Linked DNA regions of Notamacropus eugenii. The protein of the gene in region 2 purifies or fractionates together with the protein of the main gene of each other region. This does not show direct contact. Links are inferred from orthologs where the notes say so. Each region holds a gene or a part of one and is shown on either strand. Other genes may lie near its edges.

Region 1 (7,122 bases), on a different chromosome or scaffold from region 2:
ATGTGCCAAAAACTACTCTTATTTCTCTCTTTCTGTCCTACATTCACCTGGCGGGAACTTTGGTTTCCTGCTATCAAGGAGCCCAAGGGAGGAGCTAAAAGTAGAGGTAGCAGCAGCTTCTTTCCTGCCACAAGTGACCAGCAGGTACCCTTCTACTTGCATGGCTGACATACATCTATCTATGTTTACACATACTTCTTCCTATTCCTCCCAACCTCCCACTTGTGACCTGATACTAAACTTGCTAAGTTTCAGCTAAAAAAAGATTTGCTTTATATTTTAAACAGATAAAAATTAAGTGAATAAAAGAACCTACTTCACAATTATACTTTTACAAGTCCTGTCAGTCATTTGATCTATTTTTGTGCCATGTGGAAAGGGATGTTATTGATACTTATTGATTAAGACTATCAATCTTTAGCTTACATTATAACAGCTATATCTTTTACATCATTTTTAGCTAGAATTTATCTAATATTGCTCCTGCCACCCCCCAAAAAAAAAAAACTCTTCAAATTACACTTTTAGTGCATTAAAATGAAGTAGGTTTGTTTTTTTTTTTTAAAGAACAATTGAATCCTGTGTTTCACTTTGGCAAAGTATTTCAAATCTCTGTAGTGTATAGCTCTGCACATTTATAACATAAAAAATTAAACCATCAGAAGTCTTAAGCTCAACTGGAAATCCACAGAGGTCACTTAATTATAAACATGGAAGAAAACAACAAGTATTTATTGGCAATCTGAATAATCAGTATATCTTAAAAATATGAATAAGGTCACTGCCACACTCACTATAACCAAAGAACGGTTTGGGGTGATTTGGGGTCCATTTTAATAACTGAAATATGCTGAAAAGTTACTGAAGTAGCAACACTGATCCTGAAGTTCAAAACTAAAGTGTTCCAAAAATTGTTTCCAGGTCATCCGCAGTGGACCTTCGTTTTAAACTGACCAGTTTTCCCATTTCCCCCCAAACACTTCCACAGCACTCTCAAGCCGCCTGTCAGCCCGGCAGTCCCAATCGCCCCGAACAATGACCGAAGCAGGGCCAGGTGTGCACATGTGACTGGTTCTGGCAGACAAAACCACGGGCGTACGTTAGCGTGCACACAAGTACAGATTCTCCAAGACCAGGCCAGGGCTTCGTTGGGGCATCTGCGGTAAATCCCGTCCCGCCTTCGCACGGAACACTCGTCTGGGCTGCTTATGCAAATGGCAGGCTGAACAATGCGGCCGCTGCCCCGACAGCCATCCCCACGGCTCCCGGAGGAGGCCGCCAAGGCCCGGCCCTCCCGCAGGGGCCGCTCCGAGCCCGCGGCGCCCCGGACAACAAAGAGCGGGCCCGGGCGGCGGCGGCGCCGCTCCGCCATCCATTTTGGAGCGGGCGCCTCGGCGAGGGGCGCCGTGACAATGGAGGGGCAGCCCGGGCTGGCTCCGGATTGAGGCGGAGGGAGCATAGCGAAGCGAACGGCTCCTTGGCCCGCTCCCTGTTTCTGGCCCCAGACGCGGGGCCGGCGGGCGGGGGGGTCCCCGGGCAGGCCGGGGCGGGGAGGGGGGGCGGGCTGGGGGAGGGGCAGGGCCGAGCGCGCCCGACTTACCGCCCCGGCGGGGTGATTCCCGGCGGCGGCCGGCTCCTCCTCGTCGTCGGGCAATGGCGGCCCTATCTTGCTGCAGGTAGCGGCCAGCAGAGCGAGCGGTGACGGCTGAGTGTCCTACCCCCAATGGGCGGGTTCAGAGAGGAGAAAGGAGGGGAGGGGGTGGCGGTTACAGCCGAGCGCGGCTCCCACAGGAAGTGCGACTCCTTCCCTCCAGCGGCCGCCCGCCCTCTCGCTCTCGCTCTCGCTCTCGGCGCGCGCACACCCCACCAGCCGCGCGCCGGGCCTCTACCTTCCGCCCGCCCGGAACCCCCCGGGAGGGCACCGCGGGGAGGGGGAGGGGAGCGCGAGCGAGGGCGCGGGGGGAGGGGGCTGGGCGCGTCGGCGCCTCGGGCGGGCCAGCTCCTCGGGGGCGGGGGCGGGGGCACGGGAGGGGAGGGGAGGGGAGAGGCGAGGGGAGGAGAAAGAGTGCGAGGGGGACTTTGGGTATGGGCCGGAGCAGCTCCTTCCTTACCTGGGCCGCCGCCGCTGCCGCCGCCGCCGCCGCCGCGCCGTTTCCGTGCTGCAGATACTCGCCGTGGCCGCCGCCGCCGCTGCCGCCGCCGCCGCTGTCCACGTCTAAGGCAGCCATTTCCTCTTGTTTCACAGGCTTTTCGGGAGCTGTAGGCGCCGCGGGGGGGCCGAGGGGGAGGGGAAGGAGGGGGGGGCCGGGCGGTGAGAGCTAGAAATTACTATAGAAAGCCCGGGCTGACAATCTCTCCCCTCCCCCTCCCCTCCCCTCTCCCCCTCTCCCCCACCCCCCGGGCTGGTGGCTCGCTCCCCCCTCCCCCTCCTCCTCTTTCCCCCGCCCGCCACGGCTGCCTGTAACCCTCCTCCTCCTCCTCCTCTTTTCCTCCTCCTCCTCCCCGCGCTGCCCCTGCCCCCTCTCCTCTCCTCTCCTCCCCTTTCCCTCCTCGCCGCTCTCACTCGCGCTCTCTCCTCTCGCACGGTCGGTCACCCACACGCACACCGGAGGGATGCGCTCCCAGCGGGACTCGGGGCCCAGGCTTGGGACGGCGCTTTGGGGGTGGGGGGGGGCACGGGATTCCTAGGAGCGGACGGCGGCCAGGGGAAGGAGAAAGCAGGGAGAGAGGCTGTGCCACCTCCCCGCCTCGCACACACTCACACTTCCCAGCCTCACACACACACTCGGAGGCGGCGGCGGCGACGGCCCCGGGGTGGTTGGGACTGGCTGCGGGGAGTGCTCTCTCACTCTGCTTTACGTACCGGTCATAGTGTGTTTAGAGCACCTCAGGCGGGACTCCCCGCCGCCTTACACATGGTGAGGAGCGGAGGCGGCGGCGGCGGGAGAGGATGCGGGAAGCGGCGGCGGACACGGCCGGAGCGGTCCGGGGGATTTTTTTTCCTATTTTGATTGACTGTGCGGGAAACACAAAAGGTGGAGCCTCTAGCCCGAAAGGGGGGAAGAGGGTGACAGCCCGCCCGGAAGTCCCGCCCCTCTTCTCCCCGTTCATTCGTCGCTACGCTCCCCGCCGGACTCTCTCATTGGCTGGGAAGCCCGTCGCTCGCTCGCCCGGGCGCCTCGCTTCCTGTTTGCCCCCCGGGTGGAAGAGGAGAGACAATGAGTGGCCGCGGCGGCGTCGGTTCCCAAGCGCGGCTTCTGCTTGCGCGTTACCCCGCTGTGCCTGCTTCGCTTGCCGGCTGCCGCTCCCCAGTCCGAGGTCCAGGCCTCGCCCGCCTTGCTGGCGCTCGTGAGCCAGCCGTGCAGGCCCCGCCAGGCGCCAGCGTTGGGGAGGAGGGGTGGGCTGAAGAGGAAATCCGTCCCCTGTGGCTTGGGCTCCCTCTCTGCGAGTCCTCCATCCTGGCGGCGGCCGGATCTCCCCTGGGCCTCGCTCAGCCCGAGACTCCGCTGCTTCTCTGCCTGGAGGCCGTGGCTGAGCCCCGGGGCTGCTGCCGCCGCCGCCGCCTTCGTCGCCGCTGCTGCTGAGCAAACCAGACCCGCCCCACGAGCCCGGGGGGAGGGCGCTGGTATTGGGGGAGACACCCCCTCCGAGGCTGGAGGAGGATTTCCTCGCCCTCGCTCGCTCTTGCTCTCCTTTTCTGTAAAGCCACTGGGTTTGTCATCCTTTTCAGGCTCTGCCGCCTCTCCCCAGGCAGGGATGGTAACAAAAAGAATTCCTGATCTTCACACCCAACAAAGGGCCAAAGCACCCGAAAACCTAAAGGCTTCTACGTGTAGTATATGTATACATATACACATGCATACACACATACTTGTGTGTATGTATGTGTCCACGTGTGCCTGTTCATATATACTCACAACTGAGCTAGGATAATAGAGTAGAAGCACACTTCTTATTTTTCGTGAACTTGCGTTTTTCCAAGCTTCTTAATCTCTCTTGGGGCTGAGCCAGACCCTTCTTTAAAATAACGTTTTCTTTCTTGAAGCATTTTAAATTTTATGCTTTAATTTAGACTCATTTCATTTATTGGGCCCGCTTTAGATTATTTGGATTCTTTGTGTCTTATTCAGTCACTGTAGGAGAAAGTACAGGACTTGTTTGCCAATTGGAAGAAATGTCTCTGCCTACCACTTCCAGATTTGGTTGCCAAAAAAGCAGTTCAGAGCAAGAGGTGAAAATGCTGTCCATAACACCCCAGCTCTGTATTTTTTGAAAAGCACTAAAGCTTTCTTGCTCCGACCATTGTAAATAAATTCTTCCAGTAGAAAACTTCACCAGGCTGTGAAGCCCCAGAACTACTAGCATTGAACTCCGGAATCTGACTAGCAAAATCTCTTTTGCCTGGTGAAAGAGCTCTTCTGAATTTGCATCTCACTGCTAAAGCACTTGTCTTGTAATCACCAAGGCAGTCTTTTTTAACTTTTTGAGTTTTGGTTGCATTAAACCTAGAACTGACAGGAAGTTAATTCACATACCTAAAAAACCATGAGCGTACGGAAATGATCTTTTGAAATGGGAGTTCTTGGGTGGAGTTCATCTTTGCACAATTGGTTATCTCTTTTGGTTTCATTTTCATGTGGTATTCAAAGCTCTATGAACACAAGTGGTGCAGTAAATGTACAATATATACATAAGGACTCATTCCCTCAATTATTTGATGCCCTCTCCAGAAATTATTTTGTATTTACAAATCTTTTTACAAGCTGTTCCACCACCAAGTAGAATGTTAATTTGAAGAGAGACATTTTTGTTTTCGTAGCCCAGGTGCCTAGCATTTGCTTGGCATATAATAGACAATAAACACTTGTTCAACTGAATTTGACATATTGGTGCCGTTTCTCAAATGCAGCCCAAACAGCTGACCTCCAGGCTGAGCTCATTGTTCTTCTGCACTGTGAGTTCAGGACATTTGTATTGCTGCCCTAACTCAGTGGGTATAGCTAGCTAAGATTAGATAGCCTAGTGCCTGGGCCTGATGTCTGGAAGACCAGACTTCAAATACTGTCTCCAACATTACCTGTGTGACCAGAGGTGAGTTACTTAACCTCTCTCCGCCTCAGTTTCCTCATCTATAAAAATGAGGGTGTTGGATTTGAGTGTTTCCGTGGTGTCTTCCAACTCTTGTCTGTGATCCCTCTCCTTTCATGTCATGATCTGGACTTATTCCATGCTTTGAAAATCAGTGAAATAGAATAGTTTTATTTTCCTTGGAAATCAAGATAAGTATGATCTAGGGAGAGCAAATGACCTTTTCTTAAGTGTCCTAGAACTCTGATCAAATCTTAGCAAGCGGTTTAAAAAAAAAAAACCAAACTACCTTGTTTTCTTAGTGTCAACTTCTCAATAACAATTGCTACAATACACAGGGAGTAAGAGTTGCAGTTATTTACCATTAAGGGATGCTAGTTACTTAAGAGTTGCAGAGATAAGAGCCTTGCTGGCTCTTTTAGTTCTCCTGACTTGGAATGTTAACATGATCTTCACATCCTTTTCTCTTCTTAAATAGAATTAATCACAAAGTGGTGGTGCTCCTTCATCACACTATCCAAGATTAACTTTTTTTCTATATGCTAATGGCTTGAGTCTTGGTTGTCTCTTTAGACTCTTGCTTACTTTATCTACTCTCATGGCCTCAATTTTCACCTCATATCTCTACCCACCAAGGCTCCTCAGAGCTTCAGTTACATATTTGCTTCTTGAATATCTCTGCCTGGGTAGTCAGCTAAACCTTAAACTTGTCCAAAACAGAAATTGTCTCCGCCAAATCATCTTCCTTCTAATTATTTTTTCTTCGTGGCATCAACATCTTCCCAGTCACCAAAGCTTTTAAACTGGTGGATGTCATCTTTAATTCCACTACTATCCTAAACATCTAATTGATTGTCAAGTATTATTGATTCTACTTCCACAACATTTCTTAAATCTATACATTTCTCTTAGGTCCACTACAACCAGAATCATTAAAGTCTTCATCTTTTCTTACTAAGACTAGACTCTGGTAGCTGTTGTAGACCTCAAGTCAGTAGACTAAAAGTTTTCTAAGAAAGGAAGATATTCTCTCTGCTTTCCTGTTGAATTCAGGACCTGGCTCACAGTGTTCTTCAAACCGACTTGGTCTCTTATTTCAGGCAACATCAATGTACACATTCCCTCAAATATCATAACTTCCAAGTTCCTCAGTCTACCCAACTTCCATGATCTCCTTCACTCTGCCTCAGCTACCATTAATCTTGCCATCACCCACAAGTATTCTACTTCCATGCTGAAAGAGGCTGAACTTCCTTTGCTTTTTTTCCTTCCATCTCTTCCTAGGCCTCCCCAAATGACCAGTTGCCCAAACAATGGGTTAACAGTTATTAAACATTTACCTCTTGTCAGACTGTTGTCGAGATAAGGGCAAAAGCATGGTCCCTGCCTTCAAGGAGCTTATATTCAAACAGAGGAACAGAATGCAAATAACTATGTACCTACAAGGTAGTCTATGTAAATGGTAATCTCAGAATCTGCATTAGCAATGGATGGGGGAAGAGAGACAGGAAAAGGCATCTAGCATAAAATAAGGTTTGAAGTAAGTCTTTAACCGAGGCCAGGGAAGCCAGGTGAGCCGGGAGAGCATTCCAGAAATGGGGAGACAGCCTGTTAAAAGACAGTGGAGTGTTGTCTGTAAGGAACTGCAAATAGGCCAGTGTTGGAAGATCATAGAATATGTGGACGTTAGTAAAGTGTAATGACTGGAAAAGTAGGAAGGGGGCCAGGTTGTAAAGGGGTTTATATGCCAAATAGCATGGAAGTGAGAGGGAGCCACTTAAGATTATTTAGTAGTGGGGAAAGAAGAAAAGAAGCATTTATTAAGTACCTTCTATATGCCAGACCCTCTGCTAAACACTACCAATATCTGATTTAATCTTCCCAATAACCCTGGCCAGTAAACATTAATATCCCCATTTTACATTTAAGGATACTGAATGGCTGACCTCCAGTTTCACATGTCCAACTGCTTTTCAGACATCTTGAACTAAATGTCCAGCAGACATCTTTAATTCAGCACATCCAAAATAGAAC
Region 2 (7,221 bases):
GCACATAAGATAACTAAAGCAATCCACAATAAAGGAACGCTGACAAAGTTAACTTCTATAGCTATTCTCATTGTTTCTATTTTATCATTTTACCTAGGATTACTTGCCCTACCACAAACAAAAAAACTGAATATATTCACCATGTAGTAACCATAATAATCCAAAATCATCAGAGTATTAGTAGGGTCAACTCAATTCTAACATTTATTTAAAACACTTAGTGCAAGCAGGCTGGTGATACAAAAATTAAAAAAAAGAAAAAAAAGACAGTCCCAGCTCTCAAGGACTCTACAATCTACTAACAGGGATACATTAGGTACACAAATATGCTAAGTTTTAAAGAGAGAGTGCTACCAGGGAAAAGAAAGAAAAGAAGAAACTAAGTTTCTTCCTTGGATACCACAGATGTTACTAAGACCAGAAGAAAAGTGCAGGCTGGCCTACTCCATTCAGAGCCCACAATTCACTGCCAAGACCAACTAACAGCTGTTTGAAGCGTTCTGTAGATCAGGTTTCCCTGATCCCTTCAGACCTTCCCTTACAATATCAATTTAAAAAAGAGTGTTCCAAAACTATATTTAAATAAAAAGAATCACTTGCTATATAAATAATTAAAGTCTATTTCAGTTAAAAAAAAGCCAAAAGATTTTATGGCACCCCAAAATATATACGAAAAGTGAATTATAAGTCTTATTAAGACATCTTAAGCCCCAGATACAACTTTTAAACAATTTAGAATAAATAATTAAGCCTCCTAGAAAGTATATTTCTAACAAAGACAAAACTATTGTTTTATTCTCATAGCCATAAAATAAAATCCCCATTAAAATTTTTACATCATTTGATAAAGAGTTATTTTGGGGTTCATAAAACAGGCATAAGAAAAATTATGTCAAGTTATGTCATTTTCACTAGAAAGATGGGATATTACTTTAAAGAAAAATCCAAAAGCAAATCATCAACATCTATTTTTTGGTATCACTATGATTCTATGTTGGGAGAGATAACTTATAGGGTTCCTTTCCAAAAGAAACCATGTCAAATTTAGGAAAAGGCTGGCTTATAAAGGGAAGCTTTTGAGTTCATTTCATACAAATTTGTAAAGGCACATCAGGCCAAGAAGTCTAATTCCTTTGCTAGATTTTGGGATTTTTCTCTCCAGCATAATTTGTTTCAATACTTTGAAAATATCTACACCCTCTCCACTCGGGCCCTACTCTGATGCCTCATTCCGCTGTGGGGATAACTTCAGGATACACTAGTGCAGGACAAGTGCCATCAAGTCCCACCGACACTAAGGGGGAGAAAGGTGTTAGTGGAGGCTTTTTACCAGGCTGGCCACAAGGTGATTGTTTTCAGCTACATCAATTTCTGAAGAGCCTCTAAACAAGATGCAGAAGGGTGGTGAATATGTACCAGTGGATGGAATCCCCCCAGACCCTTGAAGGACTCAACTACCTGCAATCAGACATCACTTCTAAACTGCTGCTGAGTGCTTTCTTCACCAGGATTCTCATTCTACTTTACCAAAGGTTCCAAAGGGGTATGAAAACTCCTAAAGAGGGGCTCTCGCACAACGTTCCCCCCCAACACACACACACCCCTGGCTGAACAAAGAGCAACAAAGAAGTGGGCGGCAACCACGTCTAACTTGGCACCGCTAAGACAGACAGAGGCTTCACCAAGGCCAGGCCCCGTCGGGTCTGATTCCCACACACAAGTAGCAACAAATACATCCCGTCCCCTGGCCACCTCGCGTTCCTCCTAGTTCTAATTAATTACTAGACCGCACGTCTCCAAGTCGGTAGAAATCCTAGGCTGAAAACCATCGAGGGCTCTGCCGCAGAGGTGGAAGAAGGGGCCCTCTTCATCCCACCGGCCCTGAGAACGTGGGGCTCCATCAACTGGATGGACAAAGATCATTCCTTAAGCCGAGTGTCTGAGGCCATCTCACCCTGGCCTGGCGATTGGGGGAAAACTCTCTGCCACCTTCTGCAGCGGATGCGCTAAAGGTGGGTTAGAGGAGGGAGAAAGGGAGGGGAGGGAAAAGAGGAAGGGGCTGACGGGGGGAGGGGAGAGAAGGCGGGGCCCGGGATGGAGGGGGATGCACCGCTTTGTGTGAGCCCAGAACGTGTTAGAAACCATCATTTCGGGGGCGGCTGTGCAAGTCGGATGCGCTTCTCGTCGCGGCCCTCAACCCCCAGCTCTCCTCCCCACGCACGCTAGTGGGAGTGAAGGGCGGGCCTTATTCGCCATTACCCCAACCCCAAAGAAGCCTGGGCGGGCTCCCCAGGGGGTGGTGACTTTGGGGGAGGAGGATGGGGATGGTTGGGTAGGTGGGGAAAAGGAGATGCCCATTTTCCCGCCTGCACACCGGGCGGGGGCGGGGACGGAGGGGGAAAGGGAGGGAGACAGGCGACCACCCCTCACTCACAGCAGGGCACGACCCATCACAATTTCAGGTTCTCCGCCTCCCCGCCCCCCTGCCGGGTGGGAGAGGGAAGGCCAAGGTGCAGTGCAAGGTGGGGGGAGGGTGAAGGGGAGCCTGCAGCCCCACTAGCGCGCTCCGGGCTCCCCGCTCCCGCTGAGGGTCGGCCTTTTTTACCATCATAGTAGTAGCAGACTTTCTTCTTGCCGCCTCCCTGACTGTACGCCATGGGCTCCCCGTTGCCGCCGCCGCGGCTGTCGCTGCTGACTTCGGGCTCCTGGGCTTCTGCAGCCGCCGCCGCCGCCGCCTCCGCGGCAGGCTGGGAGCGCGCAGGGAGCAGAGGATGGCCTGCGCTGGAACGGTGGTGGTGGTGGTGGCGGCGGCCACGGGGGCGCTACAGGCGGGCAGGGAGGGAAGGAAAGAGGGAGGGAGGGAAAGGAGGGAGGGGTGACGGGAGGGGGAATCGGCACCGCCCGGCAGAGGGGGCCGACAAGTGGAGTCGGGGAGGAAGCAGCGCCAAGTCGCGACGCTAGGGGGGTGGGGGAGACTCGCCACCACCTCCCGGGAGCTTGGGGAGGCGGGGACGTGCCCATTGTGCCGGCTTTGGGAGAAGTAGTGCAAAAGACCTCTCGAGATTTGGCGGAAAAACGCCTTATATAGGCTATTTCTTTATAAGTAAAGAAAATGAAAGTAACTAAAAGGAAGTTAGGAGGCAAGATGGGAATATAAGTATATTTAACAACTAAATAGTCAGAACTGCTGCCTGGATTCCCCTCTCTTTCAGCGAGGGCGAAATAGTAGCGCCGACTCCGCGCCTGCGCAGTTGCGCATTCATCCGTTCCTCCTAGGCGAAGCATCAGTCCCCGAGACTTCTTTGCGTCCACCTACGCCTCCCTCCTCCTTCGCTGTCCCCACCAGTGTACCCGCCTGGATCAAACCACGTGTTCTACGCCAGAGGGGGTAGTAGGGGTCTGGAAGAGACCACTGCTTTCCCCTTCTCCTGTGCGGCTGCGCTTCCCTTTCACTTCTGCCCGAGCTTCCCTCCTCTTAGTCCTCTTATTACCAGTCACCATCTTTGCCGTCGTGGACCCTGAACGTCTCACTGGCTCACTTAAAAATAATTAAATTAGGAATCCATGTGCGAGTTCATACGGGCCGCCGCTCTCTCCCCTCGACACAGCCCTTCCTCCCCCACCCCTTTCTTCCTTCTCCCCCCCACCCCCCACTTCCTTTCTTAAGAAATAGTTCCTTGAAAGAGAAGGCATTTTTTGGACGCTGAAGCCCTTCTCTTTCCAAAGCTCCTTCATTCAGTAGCCCCTTAGCGGTCCCACGTGCTAGGACCTCCCAGCTCTGTAGGTTCCTTGTCTAAAAAGAAAAGCAAAAAAAAAAATGCGTTCAGTTGACTCTTTTGCATTTTCTCCCATAAATCCTAAATGTGTTAGCCGTTGGGAAGAAAACAGTTAAGTTTGTTGGAAGTTTAGGCTCCTCCCCAAAAGTCAATTTTTTAAGAAAGGAAAATGTCCATTGGCACCTAGCACAAAGTTCTGTGTATAGTGTGGGATCCGTAAATGGATAAGCGAATTTGAGGTAGGTTTGTGTGCCCTGCGGGGTGTGATTACTGGGATGGCTGCGGACAAAATTGTATCTTCTCAAGATTCATCAATAATGCATGAAGGACGGGAGATACTGCCGCCCCCTTCACCCCCCATAGACTCCGGTGTCAGTCATCCCTCTGAACCACTTGTTGTCTTGCTACATGAGTATGATGAAGCATGGAGTGATGAGTGTGGTTGTGGTCTTCTTCTTAGACGATTTCTTACAATTGCCTTTACAACTGGTTCATTTCCAGCATAAGAATAAAACTGAGTTATGAATAAATGGTTCTACTAATATACTTGAAGTATGTGTTCCACCATTACTACTGACACTACCCCAAGGGTACGTCATGATGAGTAACTTTAAAAATCTTTGGTTTCTACAACAGCTTTATTTCTGAACATATCCCATCTATCTCCCATCCCCAGAGAGCCATTCTTTGTAATAAAGAATAAAAAAGAAAGAAGAATAAAAGCGGTTCTTCAAAATCAGCCAACATATCAATCTCTTCTGACATATGTAATGTTCCACACACATAGTTTTACCAAGAAAGGAGGGAGATTAATTTTCACAACTCTTCTCTGGGGCCAAGTTGGATCATTACAAATATATAAAATTCAAGAGGTTTTGTTGGTATTCTTTCCATTTACGTTGTTATCATGTATATTGTTTTTCTGGCTTATCAGTTCATACATCTTTCCATTCTTCTCTGAATATTTCATATTCATCTATTCTTAGAGGACACATAAATTTTAACAGATAACTTCTCTTCCCAATTAATCTTTTTTCAAAGCAAAGGCATTTACTAAGATGGTATCATGAGACCAATAGTAACAAAACTTTTCCCCATGAACACGTGGGGTATACACTGTACGTGGTGTCAATGATAGTAGTGGGGCCCATACTTAAAGTACACTAATAAAAATGTATTTGTAACTTATTTTTAGATTTTGGATGCTTATAGCCAAAAGATAATTGGAAATGTACCAAGTGTAAAAGCTCCAAAGCCTAGAAGTAGTCTGAGAAAAACATCACGGTGATAGGTGGAGAATTCAAATCAATCAACATACATTTACTAAACATTTTCTATATTTTTAAAAATTCTGAACTAAAATTTTTTTTTAAAGAGCAAATTGGTTATTGTTATGAATAAAGAAAATAATGTGGACAAATGAAGAGCATTAAAAAAATGGATAGACCGCCATTTTAAAAATCAATAACCAAACCTTTTATCAGAGTAACCAGCAACAAAATGATTCAATTTTTACCCAATAAAATAACAAATGTTCAAAAAGAATAAAATCATCAAAAGGACAATTCACAAATGATACTCATTCCCTGAATAATTGAAAATTGCCTTCAACTTTATGCAATTAATTCTGTTTCTCCAAAACTGAGTTTCCTTATCTATCAATGCACAAAGTATCACCTTCAGATTCTTTCCTTTTGAGGACCCTATTTAAATTTGAATCTGGGCCACCAGCTATGTCTTTGTAAGGACTCTCTACACTATTAATATGAATTTAATAGCTATACTTGCTCTAAAAACTAGACTCTGGTCATAACTCAGTTCAGTTCAATTCAATGCTAAGAGCAATTTTTGAGCAACTATTGTATGCCAGGAACTGTCTAAAGACAAAAATGAAAATCCTCAAAAAGCTTCCATTCTAATGGGGATTGGGGAGAGAGGATTTGCATACAGAGATGTAAGCACAAAACAGGGAAACAAGAAATATCACTTAATTTATAGGGGGCACTAACATGTGTGTTGTGGAGTCACTCCTTTTTTTATTTATATAAAATTATTCTTCAAACAAACATGTTTTCACTTGCCAGGCCTCTTTTCTTCATCTAGTGCTAATGTGGCAACACCATAGGCAACATAGTAGGGAAATACTAGGTATATTACAAGATTCACACTTGGGTGTTGACCCAAAGTGAAATAGCCTCAGGCTTAAACCTAATCTCCCCAAAATCATGGTGTTTGCTTTTACATGGCAGTACATGCCACATGGTAATTCACAGGGTTTGAACAGCTTCAACAGAGTATATAGTGCTATTAGGTTTTAGGTAGATACTGCTTATTATTTTATGGAAAGTTCCCTTTATTCCTATGTTCTCCAATGTTTTTAATAGGAATGGGTGTTGTATTTTGTCAAAAGCTTTTTCTGCATCTATTGAGATAATCATGTGGTTTTTGTTAGTTTTGTTGTTGATATAATCAATAATGCTAATAGTTTTCCTAATATTGAACCAGCCGTGCATTCCTGGTATGAATCCTACCTGATCATAATGTATTATTCTCGTGATAAGACGCTGTATTCGTTTTGCTAGAATCTTATTTAAAATTTTTGCATCTATATTCATTAGAGAAATTGGTCTATAATTTTCCTTCTCTGTTTTGTCTCTTCCCGGTTTGGGTATCAAAACCATATTTGTGTCATAGAAAGAATTTGGGAGGACTCCTTCCCCAATTTTCAAAAACAGTCTATATAGTATTGGAATTAACTGTTCTTTAAATGTTTGATAGAATTCACTTGTGAATCCATCTGGCCCTGGAGATTTTTTCCTAGGGAGTTCATTGATGGCTTGTTCAATTTCTTTTTCTGAGATGGGGTTGTTTAAGTATTCAACTTCTCTTCTGTTAATCTGGGCAATTTGTATTTTTTAAAATATTCATCCATCTCATTTAGATCATCGAATTTGTGGGCATAAAGTTGGGCAAAGTAATATAGTGCTATTAGGATCCACCCTTGAGGCTTAAAATTTTAAAGTACCTAGTGACCAAAATATTTCAAAGTGAAGTAGAAGCTGTCCAATAATTTTCTTCATTTGATTACATTATATGTCTCTCCAAGGACTATCAATGATTGTCCCAAATTTTTGTTTGAGAGATGGAACACTATATATTGAAGAGCAAAAGAACTGGGCTTTTGGCAGAAAATATCATACACAGCAAAGCTAAAAGTAATTTTGAATGGAAAAAAAAAATGGACATTTGGTCAATTGTCAGACTTTCAGGAATCTGTTAAAAAAACAAAACAAAACAAAACAAACACAATAGACGCTTTGACATAGGAGAGCCAAGAGAAATATAAGGTACATACCAATGACCAGTTGTAAGGGACTAAATTTTGTGTATGGAAAATGTAAAACCTATGTCTAAGATTGATACTAGTAATTAGGTAGTGTATAAG
Region 3 (6,992 bases), on a different chromosome or scaffold from region 2:
TGGTCTGGAGGCCTGGCATCGAGGAGAGCTGAGCAGCATTCACAGTGACCGTGCCAGCAGGGATGGAGGCAGCTGAGGCGATAGGTGTAAGGGTGGTGTTGCTGTTGCCAGTCTGTCCCAAAGAGACACCCTGCATTGGTGCCAGGGTGATTGTCTGAGCCTGTGGGTTCTGGACTTGAAGATTCTGCAGCTGAATAGTCTGCCAACTGACCTGCCCATTAGGCCCCACTGTTGGTGTCCGGATGATAATGGGGCCTGAGTTGGGAACAGCCTGAAGCTGGAGGTTCTGGAGACCATCTTGAGAAATAGCTTGGGTTGTAAAGGTCTGGCCTGACAGTGGGGCAGCCTGGAGGGCCTGAATAGCCTGTCCCCCTTGAACTAACTGAGGCTGGATGAGGATCTGCTGTTGTTGCTGTGACTGCTGGTTTTGCTCTCCCTCCTTCTGTTGGGTAGGCTGGAGCGTACCCCCAGGTGTCTGGTTCTGCTGAACATTCAGAGAGTCAGAGCCCTGAAGCCCACTGACCCTTTGTGGTGTCTGGACTTGAGTATTGGTCCCGGCTGTTCCGCTGGTGGAGAAATTCATAATGCCCATGTTGCTGGTGGTGGTTGTGGACGAGTAACTGCTGGCATTAGTGAAAAAGGATCCAGAACTGGCTTGTGAGGTTGCCAGGCTAGCAGAGCTAATAGTCGTCCCTGAGGTTGCCGGCTGCGAGCCACTCTCTTGAGAGCCTGAGCTACTGATTGTGACTGCCTGGGAACTGGGAGTCAGGGTGGCCGCAGCAACACTATTGACAGGCAGCAGGGTGATATTCCCATTCAGTGCTACTGGGACATTGGCCACATACTGAGTCTGTCCCGAGAGGACGTTATTGGCCAAGCCTTGGAGGGGGACAGCCTGCTGGAGCAGGTTTGGCATAGCAGCGATGATATTGCCTCCACTCCCTCTATTTGTAATAATCTGCTGGTTTGCCCCAGGTATTATCTGAATTTGACCAGAACCATCTTGCTGCACTTGGGCCCCAGTAGTGGCAAACTGCAGCTGTTGCCCATCTACAGTCTGGAACTGGGGGATTACTTGGTACTGAATGTTAGGCATCACTCCAGGAAGTCCTGTCAGAACTTGCTGGTTCTGTATGTTGGGGGTGGTGGTAACAACATATTGTCCACCAGAAACTGGGCGGTTCTTGGAGGATTCACTACTACTGCTACCATTGCTATTGCTGCCACCCTGATCCTTTGAGGTAGGGGTAGCCCCAGAGGAAGAGATGATCTGCCAACCATTGGCACCTTGGGTGAGTTGTGTGGCTGCTGTGAGATCCAGCTCACCTGAGCCCCCTGACTGGCTTGGGCCCTGGGAGTTGTTGCTGTTTTCATTGGGTGACTCGATTCTGCTGCAAGTGGCTGCTAGCAAAGCCAGTGGGGATGGCTGGGACTCCTGGTCAGAGAGGAAAGGAAGGAGATTATCGATGTGTCACGTGTCAGTCACACAAACACCAAGAACACAAGACAAAATACGGTCTACTACATGAAACATAAACACTAACATATCACAGGAGTCAGGCAAGTCCAAAAAGGACCCAGTGCGCGGTCCAGAACGGTCTGAAGAAGCACACCAAGGCGTGGGTCTCTCAGGCACTACCACGGAACACAATCTGAGGCCAGAACCACTCACGCTCCGTGTCAAGGCCCTGGCCTCCAGACGTGCTAGCGCTTGAGAGAATGCCCCGAACCGCTCAATGGACGCCCCAGTGGCAGGCTCCCGTCCGCTCGCTGCCCAAGCGCACCCAGGCCCGCTGCCAGGCCCAAGGTCCGGGCCGCACTCACCTGCCCGCCGCCTCCTCCACTGCTGCTGCTGCCGGTGCTGCTGCTGCGGGTCTGGGAAAAGCCGCCGCCCCCGTTGCTGCCGACGCCTTTCTCAATCTTCACCACAACGGGCATCTCATCCACGGAATGATCTTGGTCTGGAGAAGATGAAAGAGGCCACAACGTTCAGAGGCGGCGAGGGCGGGGGGCGGAGGGGGGCGAGCCGGGCTGGCCTGCGGGGGCCCCTTTCTCGGGCATCTCGGCCTCGGGGCGGCAGCGGGGTCTCCGGGCACGCCGCGAGGAGGCGGCCGGGGAGCAGGGGCCAGTGCTCCGGGGAGGCGGGAGGCGGGATGCTGGGCATGGCAGCCGGGCCCGGGAGCCCTCCGGGGGATGGGGGGACAAGAGGGGTTGGGGGCCCGGGCGGCGGCCCGAGGTGGGGATGGGGTGGGGGTCCCTGGGCCGAAGGAGAGAAGGCGGTTTCGGGGGCGGAGAGGAGGCGGGCCGAGGGGGGCCAGGGCGGTTTCGGAGGGATGGGCGGGACGAGGGCGGGCCCGTGGGGGGGCCCCCCGAAGGGGTGGGGGGGATCCACGGCGGGGTGGGGGAGGAGGCCGGGGGCAGCAGCGGCGGCGGCGGCGGCGGCATCGGCGGCAGCGGCCCCAAGGCGGGCGGGCGGGAGGCGGAGGGCCCGGGCGGGGCCCGCGGGGCTCCGGCGCCCCCTCCGGAGGAGCCTGGGGCGGGCGAGCCGCCCGGCGGGCGGGCGGCGGCCGGGGGAGGCCCGTCCCCCGTGGCCGGGGCGGGCAGGGGGCGGGCGAGGCCGCGTTGCCCCCTCCCCCGGGGCGGGCAGCCCATCCCCCCTCCCCCTCGGAGGCCCCGCCACTGCCCCGGCTCTCGCTCGCTCCCTCCCTCGTCCCTTCCCCTTCCCTCCGCCCCGGGCGGGACCAAGGCCGCCGCCGCCGCCTCCCGCCCGCCCCCCCTCTCGGCGGGGACCGCCCGGTTGGCCCGCGCGCGCGCCCCCTCACCCGCTTCCAAGCCCCCAGCGTGGAGGGCACGGATCCTTACCGCTCATGGTGGCAGCGCGGGCACGAGCTCTGGGAGGGGGGGTCCTGCAGCGGGGGGGGTTAGGGGGGGCCCGGGGAGAACGCGGACGCTGACGAGGCAAGCGAACCTGGACCGGACAGGGAGGGGGGGGTGAGGAGGAGGGAACAGCGCGCCACAAGCCCGGCCTAGGCCCCGCCCATCGGCCGCTGCCCCGCCCAATGAGGGAGGGGGAAAAGAGGGACTTACGGAAGAGAGGCGGATCGATCGACCAATGGGAAGGATTATTGGCTCGCTAGGGCGGTACCCGCTGTGCAGAAGGGCGTTGCGTGGCTGGCGTTTGCCTCATAGGATCGGCCCTCCATTTCGAAAGACCAATAAGAAATGGGTCTCGAAGAGAGAGGTGGGTCCTTTTAAAGATGGACTTGTGAATTCGCCAATCAACAACCAGGCGGGCTCTCTACGGCGCAAGGATTGGGTGATTTTTGTAGAAATGACGAGAGGGAGGATCAATCAGAGTTTTGGACATGGCTCCGCAAAGTACAGGTTTGCGCACACGGGGCGGATTTATCTGAAGGTGACCAATCACAAACCAGAAAGGTGCCTGGGCAAGCCATCATTGGAAGATTCCTAGAAGCGGACGGGACTAAATTTACATTGACGTGACAGGACAACCAATAAACCACGAAATAAGTTTTGTGAGGGAAGTCAGAGCTTGAGAGAGCGGAATCGGCCTCCCCTGAATCCCTTCCACCAATGAGGAAACAGATTTAGCCGGGCACCGCCCTAAATTGGCCAATGGGCGTTGGCCAGTGGCGCCTTGTACTGGGGAGGGAATGGGGGGTTGTGCCAATAGTCCTCTGCCGCCATGTTGTTTTTTTACCTAGGCGTCTTCACGAGCCTTAAGCGAGCTGGCGGCGGGGCTCTAGCCTCCGGGGGCGGAGTGTGGGGAGCCCACCCGCCCCCTTCCTCCTCCTCGCTCCGTCCCCCTAGCCCTGCTCCTGCTCCGCCCTGGCCCGTGCGGGGACTGGAGCTCTGGGAAACTACCCCCACCCCCTCGCCGCGTCCCACGCCTGGCCCTCCGGGGGGGGGGGGGGGGGGGAAGGGAGGAGGGAAGGAGGGAGGGGGAGGGGCAGCCGGAGGTCGCTCCTGGCACGTGTTCCGTCCTCCTTTCTGCTTACCCCAGCTTTACCCCTGGTTAGGCTCTGGGCACGCGGGGCTCCCTCTTTCCCCCGCCATCGAACCAAATTCAGATCGAGTACCTCCACAGAACAAGGCCTGGGGAAGTCCCCTCCGCCGGCTTCCACCCTAATCAATCCAAACTATGCCGGAAATCGGGGACGCAAGGTCACCAAGTACATCGACGTTATTGAAGGTCATAAGACTGTGAACGAGGGAAAACCAGATTAACTCAGATGAGTAAAATGCACACGGATGTGAGGGAGGAAAGAAGGAAGGGGGGGAAGCATCAAGGACCTCCCTTAGGCCGGGGACAGTTCAGGGAAGCCCAGGAACCCCGTCTGCCAGGGGAGGCAGTGAAGCTGCCGGGGCACCCCGAAGGCTCTCCTCCTTTTCTGTAGTTCTGTCCCAGCAGACAGTCTGGGTGAGGCCTGCGGAAGCAGCAGAAGGGATCCATGAGGAGGCTGCGGCCAAGGCCCGAGCCGGAGAGGGCCTAGGGCCTGCCTGGCGTGGGGGTGCGTGCGGGAGAGCTTGGGGCCCAAGGGGGAGCCCCCCCGAGAGCGGGGGATCCCAGCTCGTACAGACTGTGACCTCCTCAGAGAAGCCAGGGAGTGTTTCACTTACAGGACTTAGTAGGTGCTCCATAAATGCTGGTCTAAGGGCGGGGCACCCAGGATTTTATTTAAAATAAATTTAAAATCAAAGGATCCCACCGCCCAGTAGGGAAGAAGAGCCTGCCCCCCCCCCCCCCCCCAGCCTCTGATCATGTGCCACGGAATGGAGCTAGAGAAAATCACTCTATTTGACAAGAACTGTTAGGGACACTGGGAAGCGGTTTGACACCAATGAAGGATGGACCTGCAGAACACGTGCCAAGGTAAATTCCAAAGGGCTGTAGGCCTTAGAAGCCAGAGATGATACCCCGAGTTCGTTAAGGGGGCCCAGAAGAGATTGCCTTTCACATAGGGTGCATGATCAAACGGTCTAAGGGTGACCACTTCCGGTAAAATGGAGAGATTGGATCACATCCACTGTAAAAATATTCACACAGATTAATGCAGTGAAAAGGAAGATGGGTAACTGCCGAAAATCTTTGCTGCAAGTTTCTCTGGGAAAGGTTCCATGTCCAAAACACATAAGGGACTGATTCAGATTTCTTTATGAGCCGTTACTTAGTTGAAAAATGGTCCAAGGATAGGACCAAGAGGTTTTCAAAGGAAGACATCCCAGCTCATCGATAGCCGTGCAAGAATTCGCTAGATCAGTAATAATTAGAGAAGTACAAAGGGAGGAAAACAAAAGCCCAGAGATACTCCCTCACGCCTATCAAACTGGGAAATACAAGAGGAAAATGACAAACATTGGAGAAGCTTCAGTATCACAGGCACTCCAGGAGGTTCTTAGCGTGACGGGGTTTAGCCATTGTGGACGGCAGTTAAGAACCATGCCCAGAAAGTTACCACGTTTCTTATGTGCCCTTGGAATCCAGCTATACCAGCCCAGGCCTAGACCTGAAAGAAATACAAGAAAGAGGAAAACAGATGTACCTGTAGAAAAGTATTTACAGCACTTCTTTCTGTAGTGGCCAAAGGCTAGAAGCTCTCAGGTGTCCACTTGTTGGGGAGTGGCTAAACAAATCATGGTATATGAATGTAAGATTATTATCTTGCCATAGGAAATAGTGAAATGGAAAGTGGAAACTGGAAAAGACCTCTGTGACCGATGCAGAGAAAATTTGGCACAAGGAGAACAATTTATACATAATAGATAAAAGCAATTATGATAGACTTTGGAGTTCTGATCAATACACTGATAAACCTCTGACTTTAAACTCAGCACAGCACCTCCAGCCATAGACTCTGTGCAGGGCCCTCTTCTCCATTTATACTACTTAGTGGGTGATCTCATCAGCTCTCATGGATTCAGTTATCATCTCCATGCAGACGATTCTCCTATCTACTCATCCAAGCCCAACCTGGCCTCCAGTCTCACATTTCCAAATGCCTACAGGCAACAAAAAACAGCCACACAAGCATTTTAAACTCAATTTGTCCAAAACTGAACTTATTATCTTTCAGGGGTGAAGGGAGTGGGGGGGGGCTTCCTAATTTCACTATTACTGTCTAGGGTACTAAGATCTTCCTAGGCCAACCTAGGTTCCATCCTTGACTCCTCACTCACTCTCACCCCCTCCCCTATATCTAATCAGTTACCAAGGTGCTATAAAATCTCTCACCCTGGGGTAGGTTCACATCACCCCAAACCAAGAATATTGGAATATCCTTCAAGGTAGTCTACCACCAAAAGTATCTCAGAGACTAGAGAGGTGGAGTGGTAGGTGGGGTAGTAGTGGGTGGGGAGGTGGGTGGGGTAGGAAGCCTGAGGGTAGGTAGATTAGGTGACCAGGGGCCCCGGGTTGAACAGCTGACTCAACCCATTCCCTGTTCAGCTGCCAAATCAATTTTCCTAAAGTGTAGATCAGACCCTGCTACCACACTCCTCAATCAAATGTAATGGCTCCCAGTTACCTCCAGAACCAAATATAAAATGCTTCTTGGCATTTAAAGTTTGTCGCAACCCGACCCCTTCCTACCTTTAGTGACTCAGGCCTCCTCCATTCTGAGTCAGTGCCCATTCATTGGCTGTCCTCAAAGTCTCCCGAAGTGCTCTTCCTCCTTACCTTTGCCTCTGACTTCCCTCAAATCTCAACTAAAATCCAACCTACTGCTGGAGGTTTTCCTAGTCCCACCTACCACCCCCACCCCCATGACAAGTACCTTGCCTAGAAGATCACCTCCCCCACAAACTCTACATATCCGTCTGTCCATTAGAATGTAACCTCCCTGAGAGTAACCCCTGCTTTTTTTGCATTTCTTTGTATCCTGAGCACTTCACAATGCCTGACACATATTAAGCCGCTGATTAACTAAATATTTTAATGTATATGCCACCCTTCTTTCTGCCTTTGACCTACT
Region 4 (7,699 bases), on a different chromosome or scaffold from region 2:
GAAGAAGAAGAAGAAGAAGAAGAAGAAGAAGAAGAGAAAGAAGAAGAAGAAGAAGAGGAAGAGGAAGAGGAGGAGGAGGAGAAGGCAGAGGAGGAGGAGATAAACTCAAAGGAGAATAGCTTTGACTTGCTGGATAAATCAAGTCATTAATAAACTCACGTAAAATAAAAAAAAAATAAAATAAAATCTTTAAAGTGCTAGTATTATTTCCAGACAGCGTTGTCAGCATGACAACTTACAGGAAATACTTCATTTTCTCATACAAGCCCTGTATTTATTCACAGCCCTGGCATACTATTAAAAAAAATTCTCGCCGTTTTGGAGTTTGTTTGCTTTTTTACATTAATGTGGTGGAATATCTGAGACAGCTTTCTAGTTGAATGCACATCATGTAAGAACTTCAAAAACAGTGAATGCAGTTCAGAAACTTTCATTCTCATTTCGTCCACGTCAAGCACTGGCTTTCACCATTACTTTCCTTTGCCCCCTTGCATTTCTAACTCTGGCAATCTTTTCCAAATGATCAACTTTTCCTAAAAACAAGAGGAAAGTAATTTGATGCCATCAAAATCCATAGGTTTTTCACTTCATCGCTAGAGATTTCTGATGGACTAGTTAGAGGTTCTTTCTTTCTTATTCTTTTTATTAGTCAAAGTAAGTAAAGTGCAGGGCTTTAGTTATCATTACTGGATGATTTTTGTCCCAGGCAGGCCCTATCTGGATTGCCCCTTTGTACTTATTCTGACTCTCTGACCTCTCCCTCTCTCTTCCAGGTAAATTTAGAAAAGTTTAACAAATCTACTTAACTTCTGCATAACTTAACTCTTCCTGACTTTATACTTCACATTTCCTCATTTAAAAGTTTACTGCCAATTTTTCAAAAGCAGCATCAAATTGTAGAATAGGAGAGAAAAGAAATAATCTTATTTGAATTTTATTTTCCTTCATCTTTTAAAGCTTTCTTGCCCATAACTTTCTAACGATCAATACTCTGAAATCTGAAAGTATGGGAGTGGGAACGAGGAAGGGGGAGAATGGAGAACCTAATTTTACTGAGTCGAAGATCCGGTCTCAATCCCGAAAAACATAAATTGCTTTAAAGTCCTGAAGCCATAAAAGTTACTGCCTTCCCCAGGCAAACACCACCATCTCAGGCAGGTACTAACAAAAAAGCTCTCCAAGTCACAAAACAACTTCAAACAACTACCACCCCAGGTCCCATCCTCAAATTGCTCATGGGGTCCTAGAATGGTGGAGATATTTGGAGGCACAGTGGTGTCTGCCATGGCCCTTCAAAGATCCTTTTCCCAAGACCAACATCAAAGCCCAGGGAGCACCAGCTTCAGAAGGCTGAGAGACTGCTTGCATAGCCCTCCATGGGCCACTTAAATTCAAACTACTGTGGTAGCTTTTAATAATTAGCCCCACTGTCACCACTACCCCCAACACACTTTCCCATCATGGACTAAAATAGGAAGTCTTCCTCTTTCTCACAGCCCCCATTCATTTAAAGAACCGTCTCTTTCTTAAAGCCCTGTCATACAAAATGAAAATCGCAAAAGCAAACTGGCCCAAGACTCTAGAAACCACTCCCGACACAGACACCAGAATATGGGGACACTGAAACTCTGCCTCTAAAGAGAGAGGGAAAAAAAGTTTTATGCCTGGGTCTGATAGTTTTCTCAAAGCCACCCAGAATCAGGTCCTCCTTGCCATTCAGAGGACCAGGAAAAGGACCCCATTCGCTTCGCCTCTCTCCTTTCATTCCTTCCCAACCCTAAAAAGTTTCTCCCAACTTACTACTCTTCATGATGGTCTCTAGTTTCTGCCCCGCTTGTCATGATTCCCATAAAACTTCCAGCAGCAGCAGCAGCAGCAGCAGCAGCGGCGGCGGCAGTAACAACACCAGCAGCAGCAGCCTGGGCTATGACTGCAGCAGCTCCTCAGTTGCAATCTCCTCCTGCTCTTCTACTTTGCCCGATGGTAGGGAATTAAAATCAGAAAGAAAGAGACGAGGGGGAGAGGGGAACGGGGGAAAAGGGAGGGGGTGGGGGGGACATCAGCCCTGAAACTTCTTTTTTGGCAAATGGGGATTTGTTTTTCCTCCTCCTCAGCAGCTGAACTTGACCCTCCTGACTCCAGGGGCTACTGCAGTTTGAAGTCGCCAATTTCCAGGGCTCACATGCCTTTGACCCACCAAAACCGGGGAGGGGGGGGGGGTGAGAAGAAAAGAAAGGGGGGAAAAAGAAAGAAAACACACACGCATAAAAAAATGCATGTGAAATCCGAGAAGCCTCTCTGCTTTGCTTTTTACTCTCTCTCTCTCCGTTTTGCAAAGAAAGTCACTTTTAATTCCCAATCCTCCTCTCTCAGCTCACCCACATTTCGCACACACAGAGAACACTTTAGCATGGCCACACTCAGCGTGCGCAATATTATCTTACGTAGCGAGAAAGAAAAGCTGATCACCCCCATGCCTTTCTTTTTCCTCCTGCTGATCTCTCTCTCTCTCCCTCTTTGCCTTTTTTCCCCTCCTCCTTACCTGTTGATTAATCGGCAATAATAACCTCAGCAGCCCGAAAGATGGTGGAGCGGTGGCTAGAGCCATGAACCGTCTTCTGTTGTTTGCAGAGTTGATCTTGGATTATTCAGGGGGGGCGGGGGGGTGGTGGTGTGGAGGGGGGGAGAAAAAAAAGGTTTTTCCTGCCTCCCCCCCTCTCTTTTCCCTCCCCCCCCTCTTTTAAAGAGAGAGAGAGAGAAAGAGAAAGGAAATAGATCTAGGATGTGCCTGATGTGGGTTTTTGGGTTTTGTTTTTTTTTTTGCTTTTCTGTTTTAAAGAAGAAAAAAAAAAGCGAAAACCCAGGGTCTGGAGCAACAACAAGCACCAAAAAAGAGGAGGCTTTAGATTGCAGTGAGATCAGTTCTTTATCAGAAATGTTATCGCTTGTCAGGACCTCGAGCATTACGTCAGTTTCAAGACACCAACACTATTAATATCAAAGGAGCCTTCGCAGAGGAAAGCGCCACCCCAGCCTGAGCTCCCTTAAAGAGACAGTACCGCCGCCGCCGCCGCCGCTGCCGCCTCCTGCAACTCCTCCTCCTGAGCCCAAGGCAGCATCCGCTGCGGCCGCCAAGGGGGAAAGGACGGCTTGGGAGCAGACAATTATTACGAGTTTGAAAGAGCTCCACTGTAGTGGAACATCCGAAAGGGAAGCCACCCCCTTCCCCCACACTCCCATACACACACCCGGGCTTTCTTACCGTGATATTTTACACGACCCCATCTAAAAAGCTGACCAGCCTCCCTCCGCACTGTACCCCCTCCCTCTCTATCTATATCTCTGTGGTAGTGAAGGGGAGCGGGGGGGTGAGTCTGAAAGTTTTATGGGGAATAGGCAAAGCCATCAAGCACTTACCTTAAAGGGAGGGCAAGGAAAGCGGGGGATGGGGAGGATGGGGAGGGGGGTGCCTGAACTAATGTCAAGAAAGGACCCCGAGACTGGTGCTATGACTTAAAAGGAGGGGAGGAGTTCTATGAAAGTTAAGTCTTTTAAAATTTTTATCTTCCTTTATTTACTTTCTCTTCTTTTCCTACCTCTTTATTAAGACTCCACAGGATTTATGCGTGTGTGTATTTGTGTTTGAGAGAGAGAGAGAGAGAGAGAGATAAAGGAATCTAAGGCCACCTCCTTGGTGGTTAGTGTTTTACTTGCATTTTATTACAAGAGAGCTGGGACAGAACAACTTGAACTTTTTCCTAAGTTGGAAAAGTGCAGAGGGATGTTACTGGACTTTTCTGATCTAAGGATACCTCTCTGGGATAAGTTCAGGGATTCCATCAAGCAAATAAAACTGGAATGTCTTTCCAATATTCATAGAGATGAATAGTTATTGTTTGGCTTTTCTGTGAACAGATAAGGAGCCATGAATAGACTTTTTTGTAGACTTTTAAAAATATATTTCACATTTTTATTTGAGAACCCTCATTGTTTCTAATCAATTCCTGACTGTTTCTGAATATGATGTTTTTCACCTCTAAAGCTCATCAGCGTATAAAAAATTACCATGAATATTCAAACCATAGTAGGTGTTAAAAAAAAATAAACATTTATTGGGCATTTGGACATAATTTTTTCTCACTTGGATGACTTTAAGTGACATGTTTTTCCTCTGTACAAGTCATTTTGAACTAATTCTGTGCTCAATGGAGAAACAGCTTATTAAAATTATGAAATGATTTAAAATAGAAATTAAAAAGGCAAGATCATGAAAATGTTAGGTAAAAATGAAGTAATTTCCTCAAAAAATATTTTCCCCGGAAAATGGTTCTTTCGTCTTTCTTTACAAGGAAGATGGTAAACATATTTTGTGATATAGACTATCTTCTGAGATGAAAAAGCAAATCAAATGTAAATTAGAAAACTGAAGCATATGTCTTTTAGAGTCATCATTCTTCTCTTGTATGATCTCCATTTATGTTTATTGCATACCTAGACAGGCAGATTTGTTAGGCGATTCCTTTTTAGTACACGTTTATCCCCTAAGTATTTTTGTAAGGTGTCTATTACACTCTTTATGGGTAAAAGGGCAATAATTCATTGGAATAGAGAAACTTGTCAAGCAAAAGGGGTAGTCAAAATACAATTTCACAATGAGGCACACAATATATTCCCTGAAGGTGGGATAAGAACACTAACCACTTATATACATAGAACTACTCATATATTATCATCAATTGAAATTAATTTTGGAACAGAGTTACATTTATACAATATATATTATATAAAGTCCAGCATGAAGGGAAAATTAATATCAAAATCTTCAGTAAATCTTACAGTCAGCTACTAATAGCCATCTGCATACTTATACACTGGAGTCATTTAATATCGTCAACCACCAATTTCCACAGTAAAAGACATTTATATTTTTAAAATAGACCTTTAATTTTTTTTAAAAAGCTATAAATGAAATTGTTGACCTACATGGAAATATGTGTGGCACCTCAAAAAGAATTGTATCCAAAAAGAAAGATTGGAGTAAGACGTTCATTTGCCATGACATACTTAAAAGTTTGATTTATGGAGTGTGTCTACCATATAAATACGAGGTAGTAGACTTTAAATTATGTTTCTGATAATTACCAGGCTACTCTCACAAAAAAGTTTATATGCTAAAGGGTTAAAATACTGAAAATGACTGAAGCTGTTATTTGAATAAAATTATCTGAGGCTAGAGGATCTTAGAAGCAAGGTTGAAGTAGTAAATGTATAACAAGGGCTGTCTTCTATACCCTCTTCTCTTCTCCTTCCAAAAAAAATCTTACATAGATAAACTGTATTGGTAGAAGAAATTTTAAAGTTAAATGAGCTTCTTCCTAGTTCTCCTTATTTCCAACTTAACTTGTAAGAATACAAATCTTATTTATAGCAAATACTCAATGATTAAATAAATGGGCAAAATTAAAGTACATGCCTTCAAAAGGACAAAAGCTTTGAAATGACCTGCATTTTTCTACCTGTAATAATGTAAAACTCTACCAACAAGTACACCCTAAATTATATATTATACAAAAAGCCAAGACCAATTGTCTAAGGATCAATTATGTCCCTTAAATGAAAGGCTGAAGTGACACTTCAGGTACTAACACCCATCAGTGCTGTTCATGATCACTGAAAATTGAAGCTTTAATAAATTCTTTCACAAACTCAATGTTACTGACATTTCCCTGAAATAAAAAAAAAAGGAAAATCTCTTCTAGTTGCTTTCTTTCTATATTTCAAGTTAAAGTAAAGCAGATCAAGATGATGTCAATATCAATCCATTTACATTGACCACAAAAGATCTGTAGAGAACTTAATAAAAGCACAAAATATTTTCGTAAACCTTTTCAGGCAAATTACTTATTTATTTATGAAATAATTTATGAAGAAAATTTTTACCTCATGCTTTAGATACATTGCATATGCTCATGATTGACACAATATGTTCAAGCTCAAAGGCCCTCCTAGCCCTTTTTTTATCCTAGTAGGAATATTTCAAAACAACCAACTAATACATGAGGTCATAATTGTTTGACAGTTGTTTTCAATATATAAAATAAGTTGTGTATATTGATTTTCTTCAAATATTTGTTGATTTGTTTTTATAGATATATTGTCTTGACATTTGCATAGCATACTCTAGATTAAGGGAATATTAAAGGTTTATTTGCATTTTTTATCTTCTGTTGTCAAATAAATGCAAAGCACTTTAAGTCATTCTTTTATTTTGTTCTTATTTTAAATTTATTTCTGTACAGTGGTTAAAATGCCAACTTGTGCTTTTTGTGACAGACTAGAAAATAAAGCAGAAATTAAGAAAAATCTAAAAGCAAACAAAAGAAACACCGATCTACTTAAACAGAGGGAAGCAGAAATAACTTCTTTATAATCCTTCCTATTTCCTTTAACTCTGGGATAATCTTTATTGGATGGGCCACTGTTAGAATGATTCCTTATGGTGGATAAAGCCCATTATTTATCAAGATGACATAACATGCCTTTCCTGCCTCATTATTTAAATGTCCTTTTTTCCCCCTTTTCTTGTAGTTTATTCAGTGTAGATACAAAGAGGGATTAGCAGTTAAGCATAAGTATACTTGTTTTACAATTTCAACCTTTTAGCACATAACTTACTTACTTACAGTACTAGTGCCTGTAATCACAATGATTTTACCTGATGGAACATGCATTTCAGAAATGTAATCCAACTGTTTACTCTAACACGTCATAAATAGCAATTCTTTTCAGAACCCTCAGAGATTGACAACCCTGCTCCTAAATGCCTTTTGCTTTAGCACACATCATCAAGAAAACATTTATGTATTATTCTCCTTCTGGTTAGCACTATATCATACGATTTTAGTATAGTCTACTTTGCTTTCCAGTATTTCATAATGAGTCTTTCAGAAGCATTTACTTCAGCACTGTGCACTCTTTCATAGCAAGAATTACAACAGAAATAATATCAAGGAAAAGTTTTAGTGGGTCTGTTTTTCCCCCTTCCAAATCCATATCCCACTTACTTAAAAATAAAAATCAGTTACTGACTATTTTCATTTCTAAAATGTATCTTTAGACTTAGCATCCCTGGCTGTAATTATTTAAAATAAATTCACATTTAAGCACCTCATATCTGGTATTCCAATTCTCATTTACACTTGCCAAAACCCCTTCAGCCTCATCGGGCAAATGTCTAGTTGGACAGATGGGCCTTGCAATCCACCTGAAAAGTCAGAAAGTGTGGGCTTCTTTGAAACAAGAAGAAAAGCAAATTTCTAGTATGGACTCATCCTAGAAAGAAATCTGACCAAAGATCCCCTGCATAATAATAATGATCCCAATCATTATCATCATTTCTACTACATCTACTATATAAATATTATTATTTTAAAATATTGAACATCAACCATACTGCCAAAGCTGAGGTTGACACAAAATTTGATAGACTTGTTGGCATTTATTAATAGCAGTTTGACTTACCTCCAACTTTACAGTAAAGAAAAAGAAACATCTCCAAGGGAACCCAACTCTTTATGCCCTCATGGATTCCAAAAGTCTTTCCCTCCCCCCACCCTTCCTTTAGTAGCACACACTATGGAGCCCAGGTCTTACATGCTCCATGTGGCCCTGCCTTTGTGCATATGAGCTGCTCCGCCAT

What was found.
Region 1: the proteins of HDAC2 (region 2) and SP3 purify together in Homo sapiens (affinity purification with western blotting; 3 studies listed by BioGRID). This does not show direct contact. The link is inferred for Notamacropus eugenii from reciprocal best matches to the Homo sapiens genes HDAC2 and SP3.
Region 3: the proteins of HDAC2 (region 2) and SP1 purify together in Homo sapiens (affinity purification with western blotting; 11 studies listed by BioGRID and IntAct, with this or other methods). This does not show direct contact. The link is inferred for Notamacropus eugenii from reciprocal best matches to the Homo sapiens genes HDAC2 and SP1.
Region 4: the proteins of HDAC2 (region 2) and TRPS1 purify together in Homo sapiens (co-immunoprecipitation; 4 studies listed by BioGRID and IntAct, with this or other methods). This does not show direct contact. The link is inferred for Notamacropus eugenii from reciprocal best matches to the Homo sapiens genes HDAC2 and TRPS1.

The regions. Positions count from the first base shown.
Region 1 is NC_092876.1:236,039,403-236,046,524, forward strand, and holds the start of SP3 (transcription factor Sp3), read right to left. Parts: upstream 3,001-7,122; 5' UTR 2,871-3,000; coding exon 2,864-2,870; intron 2,258-2,863; coding exon 2,112-2,257; intron 1,715-2,111; coding exon 1,601-1,714; intron 1-1,600. UniProt on the Homo sapiens protein: Transcriptional factor that can act as an activator or repressor depending on isoform and/or post-translational modifications. Binds to GT and GC boxes promoter elements. Competes with SP1 for the GC-box promoters.
Region 2 is NC_092873.1:195,219,219-195,226,439, forward strand, and holds the start of HDAC2 (histone deacetylase 2), read right to left. Parts: upstream 3,014-7,221; 5' UTR 2,658-3,013; coding exon 2,606-2,657; intron 1-2,605. UniProt on the Homo sapiens protein: Histone deacetylase that catalyzes the deacetylation of lysine residues on the N-terminal part of the core histones (H2A, H2B, H3 and H4).
Region 3 is NC_092874.1:226,343,116-226,350,107, reverse strand, and holds the start of SP1 (transcription factor Sp1), read right to left. Parts: upstream 3,012-6,992; 5' UTR 2,870-3,011; coding exon 2,863-2,869; intron 1,962-2,862; coding exon 1,825-1,961; intron 1,436-1,824; coding exon 1-1,435. UniProt on the Homo sapiens protein: Transcription factor that can activate or repress transcription in response to physiological and pathological stimuli.
Region 4 is NC_092875.1:130,539,793-130,547,491, reverse strand, and holds the start of TRPS1 (zinc finger transcription factor Trps1), read right to left. Parts: upstream 3,014-7,699; 5' UTR 2,543-3,013; intron 2,187-2,542; exon of another isoform or gene 1,811-2,186; coding exon of another isoform or gene 1,801-1,810; intron 1-1,800. UniProt on the Homo sapiens protein: Transcriptional repressor. Binds specifically to GATA sequences and represses expression of GATA-regulated genes at selected sites and stages in vertebrate development. Regulates chondrocyte proliferation and differentiation.